Drosophila melanogaster: one gene and its partners. The protein of the gene in region 3 interacts with the protein of the main gene of each other region in a pairwise test. Each region holds a gene or a part of one and is shown on either strand. Other genes may lie near its edges. The genes, in order: CG34453, dcma and Rsph3.

What was found.
Region 1: the proteins of Rsph3 (region 3) and CG34453 interact in a two-hybrid assay, tested with the Drosophila melanogaster proteins (one large-scale study listed by BioGRID).
Region 2: the proteins of Rsph3 (region 3) and dcma interact in a two-hybrid assay, tested with the Drosophila melanogaster proteins (one large-scale study listed by BioGRID).

What each region holds. Positions count from the first base shown.
Region 1 is NT_037436.4:229,606-236,396, forward strand, and holds CG34453 (uncharacterized protein), read right to left. Parts: upstream 3,747-6,791; coding exon 3,718-3,746; intron 3,660-3,717; coding exon 3,520-3,659; intron 3,468-3,519; coding exon 3,243-3,467; intron 3,186-3,242; coding exon 3,052-3,185; 3' UTR 2,875-3,051; downstream 1-2,874. Other genes in the region: CG42846 (uncharacterized protein), read right to left, coding at 1,411-1,880, 1,951-1,984; CG34454 (uncharacterized protein), read right to left, coding at 2,229-2,287, 2,355-2,697; E(bx) (enhancer of bithorax), read right to left, coding at 4,694-4,899, 4,963-5,047, 5,377-5,740, 5,805-5,909, 5,974-6,469, 6,534-6,791.
Region 2 is NT_033779.5:4,690,448-4,697,598, reverse strand, and holds the start of dcma (decima), read right to left. Parts: upstream 2,879-7,151; 5' UTR 2,608-2,878; intron 1-2,607. Other genes in the region: CG3251 (uncharacterized protein), read left to right, coding at 6,999-7,041, 7,095-7,151.
Region 3 is NT_037436.4:6,759,448-6,766,598, forward strand, and holds the start of Rsph3 (radial spoke head protein 3), read right to left. Parts: upstream 1,668-7,151; 5' UTR 1,444-1,667; coding exon 494-1,443; intron 1-493.

The DNA of each region.
Region 1 (6,791 bases), 6.5 Mb from region 3:
GACTTCGCTGACGATTGCATCGGGACTGCATTACCCTAGGATAGACGGTCCGGTCTAGAAGTAGCAGCAAGAGTCAGTTAAATATCAGTACCGCTATTAGCAGAAGATTCATGGCAGTAAGATGATGTGGATGCACCGTACATAGACGTTTCAAACTGCAGAGGATCGTTTGACCCCCGAACCAAGGCAGGGAGACCATACATACACAGGCGGAGGCAGTGCTGACCCTCAATACATTCGAGTATTTCAACACTCTACCTTTTACCTATATTTACTGGGCATTCAATCACCAAATTCGCATCCTGGGTCTATTTGGAGCATATTAAGAACGAACACTACACGGCGTAGGAGCACCACACGATTTGGTCATTTTTATTATGAGAAGTCCTAAAATCCTCCTCGGATCATTCCTCATTATCTGCATTTGGAGCAACAAGTAGGCTGGAGGTATCATTTCTTCACTAAGCACCATCGATTTCACACTACTGGCTTGGGATAGCACCTAATTCTTTACGAGTTTCGGCACTGATGACGACTTCAATCCTTGTTTCAACCCGTACCCCTTCGAACCAATATAAAAGTTGGATTGCATACAGCTTTCGCTTCGCTACACACTGGTCGATTCTTTTTCTTTGTGAGGACCCTTCGTGAGGATATTAGATTTGTTGAAGAATGATTCTCTAACTTGGACTGCGGCGTGGGATTCAGTCTAATTTAACCATCGACAGCGGCCTAGGAGTAAATTTGGACAGCGGCGTGGGATTTTCGGCTCTCAAAGACGACGGCGGCGGACGTACGGATAGTTCAGACTGCGGCGAGGGATATCAAGTTTTTGCAACGCGGGATTATTAGGGCGTTTAGGCCAGGGCGCTAGGAACCATATTCTTAAGACTACTGGAATTTACATCAATGGAGATGACTGCGGCGTGGGAGACGGAGATCGGGACTGCAGCGAGGGATCGAGGTTCTGGACAGCGGCGCGGGATTCTTATAAGATTGGACGGCGGCGTGGGACCTTTTTTGACGGCAGCGTGGGAGTTTAGGACTGCAGCGCGGGAATTTCTGACGGCGGCGAGGGATCCTCGGTTTAATTTTTCGGCAATTGGTCAGCCATCGCATTCCATATACATGCGTGTCACTCCATTTATTGATAGTTCAAAGCTGATATACTTAGGTGGCGTGATCAGCGTAATCACGCCTCCAAAAATACGCATCCCTGATTATCCCTTATATGGAAAATCTTCATTGAATATACATTTATTTACACTTCTGGAATACCGGAAAGCAACCCCAATACTTATGCCGATGATTCTAATACATGAAACGATTTAAGATCACAATAAATTGATTTTTGAAAAGAATGCTAATCTTAATTTGGTTTATTGGGTTTTGGTAAAATTTTATAATTGCTCAAATGGAAAGGTTTCCATAAGGATAAGTCCTGCCAGGGACTGTTGCATTATAGGTTGAATAAAACGATCCATTATTTTTGCCAATGACAAATGGTGGATTTACGATTTTACCTTGGGATGGGTTTGGTTGAAGAACGCCAGTTACTCCTGGTTGGTGATTATTACTGGCCACCCAGACGCTGGAAGGACCTGAATCTTGCGCTGGAACGCTACCTGGTAAAACGCCATGAGATCCCTGATTGGCGTGAACCAACGAACGGTTCTGATATGGTATTATAAATCCGGGTGCCTGGAGGACAGGTTGGTGAACCGCCGGGGCAGTCAAATTGGACTTTTCGACAGCTCTGTGAATCGTCGAGTGGTTGTATACACCGCTATAGGTGCGGGCGGGCGCGATGGCATTTGGGCGACGAAAAGCAGGGTCAGCTAACACCGTGGACTGGAACTGCAGATGCCCAAAAATAATAGCTGAGTAGAAAACGGATATTTTAGAAGGAGCTTTCACACAGAATAAAATATATTTATGTATATAATGTACCTAAGATTACGACCAATTGATAAATCGCCTCCATGTTTGCAAGTATTCTCTCTGAAATTCAGAACGGAACTGTCTTGGGAATCCATTTCGAAATTTTCTACAAGTGCGTCAAGGTTATCTTGATTGTTTTGCATTAGTATGTATTTATTTTATTTATATTATTTTGCGTTGTTATGTACTGCGTGGCGTCTTATCTCTGTGCCATAATAATATTTAAACTGAAAATATCTTAGTTGGAGTATATTAATCTATTACATTAAATAGCTGGTTGTTGCATATCAACCTCGCGTCATCGCAAAAAGACCCTCACAAGAACCTCTTCGAACTATTTGAATGTCTAAAAACGAATAGTGAAGTATATTTTCGATTAAAAAATAATAATATAATGGATATAATGGACTCACCAGCTCCACAGAAACGAGCACAATTAAATTTTTCCTCGTTCATATAAAGCTGCATATTGCTGCCGCAAATGGGATTGTATTGCGATGTGGTGGGACAGTTACCAAAGCAGTTCAGAAATTCCTTGGTTGGGGCCGGTGCTGGTACAAATGGTGTAAGACCTCCTGGTATTCTTACATTGTTAACCAAAACTAAGTTTGCGCTGGTGGGCGAAATTGGTATTGACGTCGTTGCGGCGGCATTGTTCCATGGGCTACGAGATGTTTCGAAAATTAAAGGTTCTTGGGCTGCGCCCAACTGACTTAAACAAGCAAAAATAAATATTGGATGCCAATTGATGCACATCTTTAACTGAATCCTGAAGCTTATAGTCGTATGTGCTTTCGTTCGCTGATCGAGGGAAACTGAACCAACACAAGAATCAGCTGCACTAAGCATAAGGAACTTCACATATACTGGAAAGTTTTAATTCAGTGAATCAAAATACAAAGTAGTAAATAAGATATGGGAACGCCACTGAATACAGGTTTCTAAAGCAGTCAATCGTCTGGAAAATCCAGTTCTGTACGATGCCCGCTATCAATTTTAAGTTTATTATCATGTGCTTATATTTGCAATAATCTAGGGAAATCCCAGATTTGATTCATCAAAAATATGGGTTGGAAATGACCAACAAGAAACTTTAAAATTCGTGATGACTTATCCAATAATAATATTATAGTAAGGGACTGCTGTAATTCGAGGGCCAGGCATGGAAAACGCAGGAGAAACATATTGCATAGAACGCTCCAGCTTTTGGTAGTTTTTCGAAATAGCTGCGAAGCCAATGGTAGCTGAAAATCTCTTTATATTGTTGTACCCATACAATTAAATGTAGGTGCACTACTTACAGCTTGAAGTGGAAGGCACATTAAATGGTTCTGCACTCCATGCATCAGTGCCATTCTGTACCATTTCTTGCTTGTAATCTGGACTCAAGGCTCTTTGTAAGCATTTTCCCATATGGATGCTTTCCTTAGTTCGCCCACAGCGACAGACGGCCAGTAAAGGTTTGTACATCTCCGGAGATACGAATCGCGATTCGCCTTGGTTGTTGTGCACAAAAGGGCACAGGTCTATAGGGTAGAGTATGTGAGTGCACAATTATAAACCTCTATGTAAATATACCTTTTAATTTTAGCTGGTTACTTAGTTGAGAATTAATCTCAGATTGGTGGTAGAACTTGTTAGTTTGCTTGCCCGAAATTTCGCTCCAAGCTTTTGGAAAACTACGACGCGAATTGTGCTCCATGCGCACTTGCTCCTTTCTAAAATTGTTAATAATATCTGCTATTCATATTTTAATAAGATGTGCTGAACTCTTACAGCTTTCCAATCACTTTAGCAGGTTCCATCGTTTTATTATGTTTAACTAGTCAATAATTTTGTTTAATAAACCCGTTTTCTGCGCACGCTCGCCATGGCAACCAGTTAATTAGTATTTTTATACCCATTACTCGTAGAATAAACAACTTCTGGACAGTCTAGTAACGACTACGTTATATAGTGACATTTGCAACCGAAAGAAGACTTTTGGGAAAGTTCCATGTATAACTGCTTTAAAACTGAGAGACTGGATTGCGTAGAAACTGACGGACGGGCTTTGTTATGTCGCATCGTCTGCTGATATTGATCAAGAATATAGGAATATAGTTTGTGATCATAAAGGGTACCTTCATTGCGAAGCAAATTTCGGACTGTTACAAAATATACCCTATGCAAGGGCCTACAAAAATTTCAATGCAGATCAACAAATGAGGATTTTGTTGTTATTTTAGTGCAAAGAATCCGTCTAATAATATTAATAAGCTATTTAAGGTATATTTTTGTTTTTGCTGAGTAGGTGTGAATTTAAAAGTCCAATGAGCAGTAAACAAACCAAAGACTAAATAAATGCAAGTTATTTTCAAAATATGCTGAACATTTATTATAAGCTTGTATTTTTACAAGTTACATACGCCTAAGTTTAAACCTACAGCATATGATAAGGATATCAAATGAAATGCATGCTGTTTATTTACACTTTAATGTTTTGTACAAAGGGGGTTTTACTTAATTATTTTTAATCTTACAAATGTCTGGTGAATATGAAATTTATTGCATACTGGTGTACGTTACTAAATATGGTCAATATGTACATAATTTATTATAATTAATTATATGTGTTTTTATTGATAATATATGTTTATATAACATTTGATTCAAAATAAGAATACATAACTGAAGGACGTTTTTCAAATTGTTAGAAGTGTCTTTATAAACTATAATCATTTGTTCTAAAGTTTTCAAGGGCTATTATTTCTTATGTTCTTTGGTCAAAAACATTTTCGCGAAAATTTTTAATTTTTTGCACAAAGTATGACTCTAGTGCTTCAGCACACTTATAAAAGGATGATTCTTTTGGGTTATAGTAACGGCAGTTGTCAAAAATTTTTGTCATATCGCCTATAAACTCAGATAGTTTGGTATAGGTGTTTGATTCGAGTTTAATTTCCATCCGTTTGAGATCTATAGAAAAAAATATCCCCATTTTATTTATTTTCGAATAAATTTATTTTTTGTGTTACATACCCATTGGCTCTTTAATCACTTTGTAATAATCGGGTGCTTCCTTCGGATCAACCGGTTCCATAAATGGCCAAGCACTTTTGTGTAACTGTAGGGAAATTTAATATTTATTCCATTTTTGATGTGCTACAGTTGAGAGTTTTTCGTTAGCCAGAAATGAATGTGAAACGAATGAACGAATTGGATATTTGATTCACTTGGTCTTGAACTTATAATACTTTCGTTCTGTTCGTTACTTTGTAATATTTTTTCAACAATTTTACAAACATTACCGTATTTTAACATGTTTGATGCCATCAATATATAAACGATTTGTTCGTTTATCTAACACAGAATAACGATTCCCACAAAATTAAATTTTATTTAATTAAGGTCCCTAATAATAAATAAAAATTATTATGAATTTCAGGTTATTACCTGCATCTGCTTAATTAAGTTTTTCAGCTCTTCAACGTCATTTGAAGTCAGTTTCTTCATATTTGCAGCGTTAGCATCGTTTTTGCGTTGGCATTCAGGGCAAACATATTCATCAATAAACTCTGCTTCGCTCTGAAGTATTCCAACGCAACGGCCATGAAACCAATCCTGGCATTTATCACAGCATATATAAAATTGTGACTCGTCGTATGGTTGACGACAGCTACAGTAAAGCTGTTGCGTTTCTCTCGCCCTCTTGCAATCAATGCAAATGAACTCCGATAGTTTTTTAGAAGCTTCCTCGGTAATACTGACACAATCCCCATGGAACCAATTGCTGCACAAGTCGCACCCCACGTAAAACCTACATAGACACAATTACAATATATTAATTAAAAGCGCGTTAAGAATATGCATTTCTGCATTACTTTGTGTCATCATATGGAGTACGGCAAATGCAATACAACTTTTCCTTTTTTCTTGTCAACTTTTTTGGTCGGCCTGCGCCATGTCTGGGGTTCTGCACCTCTGTCCTACGATTTGATTTAGGTATTATTAGATATATCATATTGCACACAAGTGCATGAGTATACGTACCGTTTAAAATCTAAATTTGGTTCGCCACTTCTCTCATTTTCGCTTTGTTCATCCGGTGAAGCGTTACTTAAGGGGCGTACATGTCTTTGGACTTTAGTTTTTACATCTTCGTGTATTTCGCTTTGTAAATTACGCTCTAATAAGGAACGCTTGCGCAAAATATTTTTTTTAAGCAATTCTTTATGACGTTCCAATTGCGATTGCTTTTGCTCTCCAAGTTCAGCGACTTCGTCATTCTTGCTCCGATTTTTTTTTAAAATTCGATTAAATTGGCTGCTTGTTGTCATAGCATTTGGGCGTCTTAAGGAAGTACGAATTTTCCATTCAGTGTCATCAGTTTGGCGACTGGGAGTTAGTGCTTCCTCATTCACACTGCCCCTTGAGCATGTTTCCCACTCATTCGTCGAATTCGCATTTTCTTGTTGCTTCTGCATACAAACAAGTTTTTCTTCAAGTTCCGGACTTAAATTACCTTGTTTCAGAGCATTTGAAATAGCTGAAAATCATGGCACTTATTATTTCAAACACATTTGTATTTTTATTCATTTTTTAACACTTACACTTCTGTATGTATCCTCTGGTAACAACGAAGCTTTCGTTTTGTTTATTTTCTAAGTCTGTTTCTGATATATCGAGGCCGGCAAGGTTAGTTGGTTCATCATGTTCTGAACCCTCTAATAGGGAAGATGTACCGGCAAAGGACTCATTAGTTGTAATATTAGAATTTTCTGTTTCTGCACATTTACTGTTTTCCTGATCATCGCCATTATTAATAGCAATATCTTTAATAGTTGAATTGGCTTCGTAAGTTGTTGCTA
Region 2 (7,151 bases), on a different chromosome or scaffold from region 3:
CAACCTCGGTTGCGTCCACCGGTGCCATTAGGAAATTGAGTATCTGTCATAAAAAGCCGCTTAGGCCAACATGTTTTAGCGCTTTTCATAAGTTTGTCACGTTCAATTTCCGCTGCGGCACCTTTGATAGCTTCGATGAGGAGTATTTAGTTTAATGTATTGCCATAAATTTAATGCATATCCGAATGGCACTTTAAGTCAAAATCCAGCGCGATGGCGGTCAATCCCAGGCAATTTTGAAATGGCGCTTAGATCCGCTTTTACGACCCCGGTGCCAATGTGAACTTAAGACCCAGCTGCTGGCTAAAGATCATCCCACTTGGCCGTAAAGGAATCTTTTGCCAATTTATTTATGCGAATGCAGGACAAGATGGCCAATACCAACTGGCATGAATGAAATTGTGTTACATACGAATCTAATGCCGGCCAAATGGGAGTTAAAAATTTACTAAATCTAATTGCACTGCAATGTGCAATTGTGGCAAATTGTCATCTGTCACGGAAATTGAAGTGTTTGCGTACAAAATCAGGGACATTCTCAAGCGAGTGCGGCTCCTTGGCAGTAACCCCATTACCGCTAAGTGCCATTGCAGAGGGCCAGGAAAAATTACCTGGCGGATACAGGTGGGCACTGTGGCGTGTTTACGTTCACATTCGGAGGTCTATTTCGATCTATTCTCTGGATGCAATCAATCTTGCGAAGCCATCGAGCGGGCTTATGAAAACAAACACTGCTGTTTCAAATTTATACAGCTAACCAATCACAACATCCGCCACTTAAATTGATGTGTGTGCTCTGTGTTTTTAACTTAAATGAAAATCCGCAAGGTTGTATGCAAATAAAACTCAAAACTATTTAATAATGAATTGCCTTTGCTTTTAAATATTCAAGCTTATCTCGTTGCGTTTATACTTATTTTTGAATTGTGGTCTCTAAAAGAAATTGTTTTCAATGTAATTTTGTGTAGGTGTTAATAAAATATCAAAAATACAGAGTCGGTAATGGATTCCGCTAGCTGTTAATCCTTCACCTATTTTTGGCCCACTTTGAGCCTATGGAGCCCATGGTGCTTCACGGCTGTGTTTGCATTTGCATTTCATTAAAACACAGGCAGGTAAACAAGTTGCCGCTCCTGGCACTCACTCACTCACTTACTCACTTGGCTCGGCTCAACCTCAACCTCGGCGTGAACCGCTGAGCGAATATGTCGTACCCGCGACTACGGCGGATGGCGATGATGATGATGACGAGGACGAGGATGAGGACGAGGATGAGGACGAGGATGAGGACGAGGGCGAGAACTACGGATAGTGGAAGCAGTGAGCTGTTGTTTCAGCTTTCAGCTGCTGGCATTGAGGGCCAAATGACAGTGGGTCCTGCGAGTGAAAGCCTCAAAGAGCAAATGGGGGGCGTGATAGGGTGCAGCGTGCACTGCAATTGCAGACGAGTGGATTTCAAGGCGGCCACTGATTGCACGTGGAACGTGACACGCCCACGGGCATTACAATAAGTATACGCCCGGTGTGTTTCAATTAGTTTGCGTTGTGGCCGAATAAACACGTTAAAAGTGCGTGTAAACAAATGGGGAGCGCACAAAAATGCCAGCAGATAATGACGCCATGTCCGTGGGCAAACAATAAAAGCGTCTCCCAAATTAGGCGGCCATATCAGACGGACCTGACCACATTATTCGGCCCGGCAAACAAGCAACCTGTCACTTGTCACTGGCGACCCCCGGGTTTTATTTTTATTTTTTATTACAACTTTACTCTTCCCCCGGGGAAGAGAGAACGGACAGCCCGGGCATCTGGTCAGATAATTTTCTTTGTTTTCCGGCAAATGTTTTCATTTTTTATCCGCTATTTTTCCACCTATTTTATCACGTTTGCCGTCCCTTTTGTTTCGCCCATCCTATCCCCTGTTTACTTTTCACGCACGTTCACAGGCTTCTCGGAAAACCAGACAGGTAGCAATATGCAAATCAAATAGAGGCCAAATGGTGTTGACAAACGTCGCAAAAAAATGTGTATCGGAGCGGGAAAACGGGGCGAATGCGGAATGGAAAATCCATCGGCACAGAGCTCACGTGCATCCCAAGTGCCCTGGGGAAATTCGAGCGGCACCAGAAAGTAAGAACTTCCCTAATGCAATCCCCTCCGAATTCCGGCTTATGACGGCTCGAATGTCGAACTACGTGGCGGCTCGATTTGCCCCTGGTGAAATTTAAATACGTCACTCTGCTGATCCGATTTGAACTTATTTTATTTGCATTTATTTATTCGACTTGCTTCGGTGCTGCGCCCTCTTTTAATCTATTTTGTATTGATATTTTATTTGATCTAATTGATTGGGTTAAGTGAAATAAGGGGCCTTTGTGTCTCGAAATTTAATTATTGTCTCTTTGACTGATGTCGTTTTTTTTTCTTAAATAAAAGCAGATTTTGGTGTTAAACAACAAGACTAATTCTTTATCTTAGTCGAAAGCAGAAAATATTGTTAACTTGTGTTTCCTACGCATGTTTCAGACATGTTAAAGTGGTACATGCTTTAAGTTCACACTTTTACTACACCAACACTTAAAGTTTCTGGGTGCTATTTATGCTTACATCGAAGTTCCTTTCCAGTTGAGTGTCGGCTATTCACATACTGGATCGAGCAATGCCGATTGTCCAGTTCAATTATTGACACATTATCTGCTACTCAGCTCAGCACGCACTAAAGCCGCAGCACTGACCACCGACCATTATTGACTCAGTACTCAATGCAGGCAGTGGCACAGACCGTATCGCGTATACGCCATGTGGCTCGAATCGAAAACCAAACGCAGCTCGCAACTTGACATGCGCACGTCTTTTGGGCCGCGTGTTCTCGCCTCGACGTCTGTTGTGGGACTAAAAGCCAGAATACTTGCCAGAAGCTGCGGCTGTTGGCCAAGTGAAAGCGTTAACATAGACTCGACAGCAACAGCTGCTCTGTTAACTGGTTTGAGCGCTCTTCTGGCCATTCATTCATAATTGTTTTGAGTGGAATTCTGTGTTGGTCTGATGTTTATTTCCCCTTTTGGGAATACAGAGAAAAATTCTGTGCATAAATAAATATGTATTCCTTGCAAAAAGTAAGCCCTAAGTTTTTATGAGTTAGAAACGGAAAAGAAAAGACTCCGTTCCTCAGATAAAGATATTGCATTTATAAATGTGCTTTATATTTTATAAACGTATCGATTCATAAATATTTTCCACATAAAAATGAGCAATCGAATTGGCCGAAATTCGGATAACTGGTGATCATAAAACCCTTGGCTTATGAACAGAAAAGGCTATGCAAAACTGGCAATGGTTATGTGACTGATGCTGATATTGTTATGTTTTTCTCTCGCTGTGCCAGATTGTTTTGTTGGCAGGACGGAAAATCAATTTGGCTAAGCCGAATGCGACGCTGGGGAGCAACTGAGTTAGCGTCATTCCCGCCACGTGCCTCGCAAATGTTAATGAGCCTGCGTGCCACTACCACAGTCCTTATTTTTATTATGGCCCACTACGATTTCTATGAATACATGGCCTTACGCACTTATGCAAAAAAAAAAAAAATAAAGGGAAATGTTGACCTTTCCCGCGCTGTCAATGCTGCTGGCCAGAGAAGCATAACAAACAAATGCGCGTGAAATGTCAAAATCACTGTCTGCCAGGAGAACAAAAAGCAGAGTAAAAAATAAATACGGAAAAGGGAAAACCCGTGGAAAATGGTAAAAGGATGTGGAAAGATGACGACGCATAAGCGAAAAACAAGCAAACTGCTGGGGGCGAGGCAATCAAGAAAAATTTCTCCAGCAAATGGCATGGCAAATACGAACAGCAGCAACAACCGCAGCAAATTCAAGTGGTTGCAAGTGGTGCGAGAAGTGTGGGGCACGGAAACGGACACGAGTTGATGATGAGGTGGTGGCCCATAAACACACACATGCTAGCCATGCTCTACCAGCGGTCTTAACAAGGCTCAAGTGAATTATAAAAAATAAATGCTCCAACGAGTCCCGAGTCTGTGATACCCGATATGTGGCTGCTATCACTGAAAATTTATATCGGTTTTATATATTAAAGTTTATAAAAATTATGAAATATTTCATTCTCTTAATTAATAAATATTGTATATTTTTTTTCCATTTTACATAACATTTCTTCTTTATCATTTAAACCGGTAAAGATAAAGTTTTGGCAAAAAAGATTTATCACATAACAAGGTAAGCAGGTTTAAACTAAGCCAATGTAAAGCTCACGCTAGCCAGGCAAATAAGCCACAAATAAAGATTAAGCCAACGTACGTGTGCAGAAGCACTTTAAAAGTAAATAAAATAAGTTATTGATAGTAAACACGAAGTGTGCTTTAACTGAACTCCAGTCAAGTAGTGGCTGTATTTCTTGAACTGCAGCTCCCGCAGTTTTTGGCCAGAACAGAATGTTCAACATGCTTTTTATCCAGTGCCACTTTTTTTCGAACAGCAATTGCTGAGGGGCAAGTAAACCGCTGGTAGCTTGTGTGCGGTTTTGTTTGGGCCCCCGTTTTATCCTGTGGCCATCAGTTTTGTGTGAGCTGAGCATAGGGCCAGGAAGCCAGATACGAAATGCTTCGGGCTTAGAGCAACAAACTCGAAATTAGCCGCAAGTATTACACCTCCCGCTGTGCCACATGTTGCAAGAGAAATGGCAACGACTTACAACTGCAACTTTCTGTAGCCACAATATGTCAATTTGTCAACACACCCGCCACGCAGCCAACGAGATGAGAAAACATTCTGGCGGAAAAATAGTGCACAACCTTTGCGGTCTCTGGCTTAATGCAACTTTTTAGCGCAACTTTTTAATTAGTTCAAGTTTATCGTCAAATTTGCATGCACAAACTTTTGCCGGGGCAACGCTGCGTATGCTTAACATGTTTCGTGCATAGCAACTGAATTGCATTTGTGTGCCGAAATCAATGGCATTAGCATTTAAAGGAGAAAAGCACAGAAGCTAGTAGCAGGGCTTACTCGCCTGAAATAACAATGATTTAAAACAAAGCATTAGCAGAAGGCTCAAAGGCTGTCACAAGCAAATTATTTTCGCCACTGGAGTGCATCATTAAAAGGGGATCAATTCACGCAAGAGCGCATAACAATGCAGCCAACGAAATCTTTCTGTTTCAGCCAAAGTCAAAGTTAGCCTTGGATTTCGGCCGTAAGTCCCAATTAATTGCCTGCAATTCGGTAACTTAAGACCATCCGGTTCTCGAAGAGCTTTGCATTTATATGGCGGAGACGTTTGTCCTTATGTACTAACTCACAAGTATACAGTACAGTTGGATTTGAAAATGTAAATGCGATGCAGGCGACAAAAATACGCTCCACTGCGCTCCCTCTTGATTTTAGTTTCGGGGCTTCTACTTTGTTTCATTTTATTTTATTTGGTTTTTTTCTCGCTTCGGAACACTAATGAGCATTTAAGCTTGCGGCTTGTCATGAATTTTATTTTTTTTTGTGTCTACTACAGCTACTGCTGTTGCATTTGCATAAATTGTATTTCCCAAATGGTACGGAGTTGAAAAAATAAAGTTGTTGCTTTAATTTAATTGATTTGCATTTTTAGTGAATTTTAACAAGTTCAACAAAAGGATAAAAATACTTTTCGGTGCAGTATGGGTTCTCACGTGCGTTTTATTGGCCAGCCAAATTCATTTCGCACAAAACAAATCCCCCAGTGTTTTCCTTTTGATTTTCAGATTAGTTTTTCATTGATTTATGGGCCATGTTTTATACAACTAGAAGTGCACACTTTAATCGCGCCAAATGTTTGGGCTTCGGCTCCCTTCGTTTCCCCAATTTTTGCTTTTGTTTTTTCTCTCCCACTGTCCGTTTGTTTGTATCTCATTCTGGGCCATTTAATGCGTATACGCAGTGTGTGCTGGCATTTCTTGGTGGCCACAAACGGAAGCGCTAAACCAAACATAAAAACAAACAGCACTCCTAATCGTGTGTATAAATGTTTATGCTCGTGTGTTGGCATAGTTTTATGTCTCAATTGAAGCGCTCTGCCTGGCCAAATAAAAATAATCAGCAAGTCAATATCCCGATGGGGAGCGGAAGAAACCCCTAAATCTTTGTCTATTTCCGTACACTTCATTATCGAGTCAGTCTTACACTCACTTCTCTAGAAATTTGTGTTGATGATGAAGTGGCTCGGTTGGCGGAATTAATCCATCCCATGAATGATCCATGATTGCCAAGTAATGGAAAAGCGCTTAGTTAATTGTGGGGCATCGCACATGGTAGCTGTTTCGATAGAAATTGATGGCGACACGTGTTGAAATCGAATTATACGAACATAATTCACTCGATTATTTCTGTCTATCAATTAATTACCAACCTGCTGATGTGTCAAATGCTTTCGAATTTATTGAATGCCATTGCTGCATTTTTGAGCCGTTTGCCTCTAAATGTTTATGCAGTTATTTATGTGCTCTATTATTTTCTTCATGTTTTATAGCTCCACTCGAAAGCATAATAAATCAATGCTAAGATATGTACCACATTATAAAGTTTATGCAATTTAACATAGATTCACAAATACAATTTAACTATGTTCAGAATCGAAATTTAAAATTTAAGTGGTAAGGTTGCCAAGCTCTTTCATGAGGACAGCAATGTGACCAATAATCCTTTTGATTTTTGATTATTTGGCTAATAAGTTTCTCACGTGCTTCCCTTCGACGGTGTTGCCACATAGCTACAATTTTGCATTTCATAATAACGCTTTCACACAGGAGCTTAAGGAGAACAGGTATTGAAGGCAAATTTCGTGTTCATTTCCACTGTTCCACTTTTAACGCGTATAATGGAAGTGCAGAATTCCAACATCTGGCAACGACGCAGGAAACTCGTGGCTTTCCTTGAACTTTTTCCTATTAGTCGCGACTTGATTTAACTTTTATTTAAGTACCCAGTACTAAAATATTTTACCCAACAATAATGTCCGAAGTATTGCAGCGCTTGGCTTCCACTGAAGTTAGAAGTAGGTCAGGGATTTGCATCTTACACAATTACCATAACCAAGTCTTCCCACAGAGGCAAGAGATCCAATAGATCGGTTCCTGGAGCGACGTCAACTCTTTCGGAAGCATA
Region 3 (7,151 bases):
CAAACCGTTCAGGGAATTTACAATGTCCGAATGTTATTGGAAAAGCATTTCTAATTGAATTGTTAAAGAGTTAATTGTGAAAGTGGGTGAGCCACACAAGAAACTTGGCTGATGAAGAGCCTTCCATTCTATTTGCGTGTCATAGTAAAGTCTAAAAACAGATCAATAAGGTATCATCTTGAATCTATATCAGTTTAGATAACAAATCCTTGAAGGATTCAATTCGGCACTTTAAACCACAAAACCTATTTGTAATTGAATTGTTTGGGTGTCAATCGATAATGGCCGTAGGAACTGAAGTGGGGAGCTAAGTTCTGGTTCCATTGCAGAATGGCAGTGTAGGTACGTACGTATTACTCATTTGAATTTATGGTAATATATTTTGGCCCACTTTGCCTTGGTCAGTTGTCGGACCTTTTCCACTTCCCACCTTTTTTTTTTTTACTTCCAAGTTTAGCACCCATACCATTTTGGGGGTTGGTCTTTTTATTACCTCTTGTCGCTGATGTTGCTGCTGCTGTTGTTGTTGTTGTTGCTGGTGGAGCGACGCTGTTGCAGTTGTTGTTGGAACTGAGCCTTGGTGATGTGGAGTCCACCGGCGAGGGATTGCGTATCGTTACGGGAGGATTTGGAGGCCGCAGCTGTGGCCGCCGCCACTGCCGCCGTGGCACGCAAACCGTTCAGCCGGGTGGCGGTCACCTTCTGCTCCTTGCTCTCACTGCCGGTCTCCTTGGTGAGATACCCTTGGAGGATCATGGGATATGAGGAGTAGGCGTAGACATGCCTCCTCAGCATGGTGGCCGGTATCATTTGGACCTCATGCGGAGGCGGCAGGAAGATGCCCTGCGGCACTGTGGTCTCGAATCGTGGTCGCTGCGACATCGCTGGATCCATCCAGGCACCGGAATTGGCGCTCTGGCGACCGCCGTAGTTCTGCTCCTCCGGCGCCAGGAAGCGCAGCTTCTGGCTCAGCTCATCGGCGAAGCTGCGCACCTCCTGGTTGCTGCGCGAGAAGTGCGATCGCTGTGGAGGATTCCCTACATGATTATCACGGTTATCAGCTATGCCCGCCTCACGTCTAATCGGACGCACGATGGCCTGTTGGGGTCGCGTTGGATAGGAATCGAATTCGGGCTCCTCGGAGGGCTGATGGCGCAGCACCGAGAATGCGTTGGTCACCACGTGCTGGAAATTGTAGGGACTCTGATAGCGCTGGACGTTGAAGCCGCCGGCGTTGTAGTTGGTGGAGCTGTAGTTGGTGTTCGAATTGGAGCTGGACGAGACGCGTCCTGGTGCGTAGGGATAGCTGCTGGCGAAGGAGAAGTTCTGCACGCGATTCGGTCTATTGTCGGTGAGGTGCTCCAGTTCTGGCACTGGCTGTGGATCTGGCTTAAGTTCAGGATGTGAGTGTGCTGGGTGCTGCTGCTGCTCCGTCTCTGGCATGGTCTCCGCTACCGTCTCGGTTATCCCTGCTCCCGGCCGCCGGTCACCTCGTTCATTATAAATAGCCACCACACGGTTCTCTCACCCGCCGCACCGAAAAACTTAATCAATACTTTTCCTATATTTTTCCCTTTTGTGCGCCGCTCAGGTGTTGCGTTCGTTGGTTGATTGTTTGATTTTGTCGCGGAACACGTACCGCACGGCTCGAATGGCAAACGCCAAATGACCAAAGGACTCGCAGGACTCGTGGAACTCGCGCTCGGACCCGGTTTCGACTTTGGATTCGGCCCGTGGTCAGCAGTCGTCGTGCAGTTGGAAAAATATGTGGAACATATAGTCTCCTACTGCCCACGACTAAAGCTTTCCAGGAATTGAGCTGTTACTTCAAAGGACATTTTTAGTAAAAATATCCTTAAAGTGCTGCAATTGGTTTATATAGAAAATTGCATATTTAAACTATTCATGTTGCTGTTTCATAAGTTTAAATAACAATACTTCGCGTGCGTGCCACAATGTAAGTTTCTATACTATATACACATATTTTTCAAATTTTTTTCTGAGTGTATCGCTTGCTTCGCAGTTTGAGGCACATGATGGGCAGGTGTTGCAATAATAATGCGAACTGTTAACAGTCGGTGGCATTGGCATGGCCAAATCCACGTTCCCAGGAATTCTACTTTGCATAAGAGCTTTTTCTTTTCCATCCAAGTAGTTTCGTTGGGGTCTCCAATTAAAGGTTTCGCCCGGCGGAGGGACCTTGAATTTGTTTCGATGGTGTCCACATTTCCTTTCACATTGTCGGAGATGACTTCACGCATTTCCCTGCCTGACATTGAAAAAGGAGGTGGGTGGCTCTCTATTACTTGGAACACCTCCTAGGTATTGTCAATGGCCAAGGTCAATTGCTTGGACTGCCTGATAAGCGGAATTCAACAGGGAACTAAGCATAATTAAGTAGATTTCTTGGCACTCCAAGGAGTCACTCTTTTTTACTGGCAATGAAGAAAGGTCAGTGAATAGATGAAAGATTATTGTAACAGGAATTGGTAAGAATGTATCAGAAGTCCAAAAGCTTTTGGTAAAGCCTGTTGTTAAAAAAGGTAATTTTCTTTCACTCAATCATACTTCTATATGATTAAATTCGTTGGCTGACCTAAAGCACGGTATTCTTATCCTAATTTGAACATATACAGTTCAGAATTGATGTACTAATATATTCGAATAAATGATAAGATATAAGATATACCACACTGTAGTATTTATTCGATTTTTAGCTTGAGAGAAGAATGAGCACTTTACTACAACTGGATTTAGATACACTATAGTTTATTGGGTTTTTATCATATTTGGGGATCATCCTTATTCCCTGGTTGACCTTAATCCGACCCAAGTCCAGCCCCCGTCATTATCGGTAGTCAGATATATTTGTATATTTTTATGATACTAGTGCGTCAATTTCTACAATAGTTTTAAGCACTCATCGACTTCCACACTCCTCATAATTTCCTGTCCTGTGCACTCCTTCTATTGTTTCCCTTCAGAACACGAATGTTTCTATTCAAAATCGTACCAAGTTTGCGTGTCCTTTAGTGGGGCCATTGTATTGACCATCAGCCGAACACGGCCAGCGTTTAATAATTTATTTACGCAATTTATGACTTTCGTTTTTGGTCTTGGGTTCCATTGACCCCAGTGGGGAGACATATAAAGGTGTAGAAAATTCCCCTGCAAGGCGTTACAAAAAGCAATGGTTTTGCAACTATAGGATACTCATTACAAGAGGAGTAATACCCATGATAATTAACTCGAGCTTACAATTTCTAATGGTTCATATTTGTAGCGTATAAATGATTTCTTAACTACTTATTGAATTATTATATATTATATAAATTACAAAGAAAGTAAGAAAGTTGATTAATATTATAATATAATTTTACGAAATATTCAATATACCCTACTTGTCGGACTTAAATTACAGGGAATTACAGGGAAGCATGGGAAATTCTTTGGGTGGCTTCTGTTTGATACTTACTTGGGGCAACCTTTGATTTTGATCGGCTTGGGATGGCTGGCCCACCAAAATGCCTGTTTGCATGGTGGCGCTGGACAAGGATTCTCGTGCCACTTGAGCTGCATCTCGGTGACCTCGGTTCCCTTGATGCCGGAACTGAGGAAATCCATTCCTGAGCTTTTGCCACCACCATTGGGTTTGTAATCCCTCTTCGGGATCGTCGGCATTGCTAACTATTGCTATGTTGCGTTATTGAGGTTTTTAAAAACTTAAAATATATATATCGGATAAAGGTCTACCGCTTGCCAAATTTATGTGTACAAAATAGATTTATTTATGTGACACATTTTCACTGGAGTTCTTTGTCCTATGTTTTTATCTCCATATTTAAAAAAATATTGTATTATCAAAAAATTTGTATCCAAAATAAACAACGACGGCGGAATTTCCTCAGTTGCCATGGGAATTGAAAGTCGGCATTGTTAAACTGTTGCTGTGTGGGGATGGGTCTTTGGCAATGCACTTTATTCGTATTAACACTCGATAGATTTTGTTCGTTTTTTGACTGAAAGTCTATCGAGACATTTGCAATTTTTCCTTCTAACTTTCGCTTAGCGAATGGTCACTACACATTCCCATATATTATACACAACTAACTATCATTCAGTATGAGGAATCTATTTTTATATCTTCCTAGCAAGGAGAAACTAATGCAAAGCAACTTTTTCTAAGGAGCTTTATTAGCTTTTAGCTGGACTTGACCAAATACCAATATAATTTATTTATTATTTATCATTATCATTTTATTATTACTGATTTATTATTCCAACTACATTGCATGCATTCTGCAGATACAGCTGCTGTTCGGGATTTTGATTCATAGATAGATTTTTAATTGACACTTTAAGCGCATCGTTAAATTTAAGCAGGATGGCAGAAAAATAATTATTTATGTTTTTTGTATAAATTTTACAATTTTTAAAATTATTCATTAAGGTCTAAAATGGTTAAAACATTTTACAAGTCCTAAGCAAAATAACTATATTTTTCTACATGACATTATACACTTACAATGTGAATATTTTTTTACAGTAAAATGTATATTATACATATGTATACTTTGTTTTACTTGTCAGCAAGCAGTAAACCCGAACCTAAATTGCAAGCAGTTTTCAATGCTACTATTTATTGGCTAATATTAAATAGTTTACAGTAACAAAGAAAAAAGTTTATAAAAAAATTTTATTTCAAAATTGTTATCATCGATTAGTGGTAAGTTTGCAGATAAATTACATTTTTGGTCTATTTGGTTGCACAATTGCCTTGGGGACATCAAAAAATCTCACTAATTCCTTGATATTAAAATGACTTTGAATTTTCTAAACTATTTATCACTAAGTTAAATCGCTTGCCATCAGTTAAAACGTTTCGATGTAGCCACGCCTGAATCGAATTTCCCTGGAACGTGTCATTTAATTAGGTTTTCAAGGCTTATCATATCTCGGACTATCGAACGTTTGTCATTTGAATTGACCCCCTTTTTCTGTTTCGAGTTACACAGAATCTTTTGTATGGTTCTGTCTATTCATTAACAAATAGTTCGAAGGACTTTGGTCTTCGGACTGGACAACAATGACGTGGCTGTCAACGATGACGTTTCGCTTTATGCGGGGGTGATAATTGCGTCCGAAGCGAACCCCTTGAAATTCCCGAAAATGCCTAATAAGATCACAGGAACAACAGTCCGCACTCGATAAGTGGCCATGACGTTTGACATTCGCTGTGGTCCTTTGGCCATTTAGTGAGTTCAAAGGTTAATGATGGCCACACAGGCGACAACTGGCGACTGAGATCTTGTCCCGCAATTTCCCGATCATTTGCTCAGATACGATACGGATTCTGCGAAGTCACCGGGCAAAGGCATCCCACTGAGTTTGTTGGCTTCTTGTCAAACAAATCATTTACTGCGGATACTCCTCGATATTCCTCAAGATACTATCCATTTCACTGTGTAGGTGTGAGCTGCAATTTTCCCTGGAAAAATTACGTCCAGCACGGGATTTGATTAATTTATTACCGCTTGTCGAAGGGAAAGTGATCTTCGGGTTCCTAACGGTTGCGGATCGTAAAAAACATTCGGCAGACACAATTGTTGAATTATCTGCGGGCTGCTGTTGTGGGCACTTTTTTATGAGTTATTTATGTGCGACTGTGGCGCCAACAGGATCATAAAATATGTAGTTATGGGTAAATCTGTGAAAATAAATGTAAGCGTAATCTGGAAAATATTGAGTGGCCTAGATTCACCACATTAGTCATTTCAAAGAAATTAAAGAAAACTAAAGTAGAAGTATAAAAATTTTAAATTGTAATGATTTAAATATATCAAATAATGCAAATTTTAAAAAATTAATTTGATTACTGCTTTATTAAAATTTTTATTTCATATTAATATGATTTATCGTGCATACGGAAATTAAACTGGATTATGGTAATGAAATTTATAAATAAATCAAATACAGAGTACTTGTAGTAATGTTAAAACAAAACTGAAAACTGATTGTTGATTAATTGCATGCCATATTTGAAGAAGTTATAGAAAGTAATTCATGGGTATAGAACTGTCTTAAATTGTCAGATAATATTTCTGTTGATAATCTACATGCTGGCCCTCTCCAGACCTTAACCGATAAACAAACTCAGGCAAATTAAAATAAATATAACCATTTTTCTCCTAATGACAAGCCCCATATATAAGCAATGCAAAACACGCAAACATTTTTGTAGCTTTTTCGGGGGTACAAGCTTGCATGACTGAAATATTTCCGAGTATTATTGATTGCTGACATTTGGAGCATAAATGGCTCTTTAACTTCCTCGTCGTTCTTCGCCTGACAAATGTGCGAGGTAAGTGAAAATGTCGTTTTTGTTGGTTTTAGTTAGTTTTAGTCAGACATTAGACATTGCCGCCCCTTACATTTCGCCATTCGGTTGACTTTTGTGCGTCTGATTTGCATTTTCGCTGGCGACTTGATAACAGCTAAATCCGTTTGCTTCCAAACGATCGCTTCCAACTACACGGCGGAATAATTCTAAAAAAAAAACCGAGCAAGCTTCTTTTTTTTTTTTCCTTACACACTGATACACACTTAAGGGGGAAATAGAAAATGAAATAAAAATATAAACGCGATCAGACGATCGTCAACAACAATGAGAATGAACAATATAAATGGTCGCATCGGAATTGCTAATTTGCTTTTCAGTTGGCTTGGGTTTGCCTTTTGCCTGCTTTTTGTTTTTATTTCTGTTTAAAATTTTGTTGGATTTTTTTTTTCCAACCAGGGTTCCTGGTACGCTTGACCCTCCCTTTTGGACCCCCAGTGGACCCCAGAATGGCCGTCCGATTGATTTTTGTGCGACATTTTTGACATGCGGATGTGCCATGTTAACGAGAAGGACAACTGTTCCCCCATTTTTCGCCTCGAGTACAGCTGCATTTTGGGTTCGCATTCTCGGGCAACCCGATCCGCAACAAATCCTTTTGCACATTTACAATAAATTGAATTCGACCAATGCTGTTTGCGGTCGAGGAGGAGGAGGAGGAGGAGGCTTGTCCCTACGTTTGCAGGGCAAGTGAAATGCTTGAAAACCGCAGGAAATTCGTCGAATTTGCCATGCGGTAAGCTGAACTGAACCG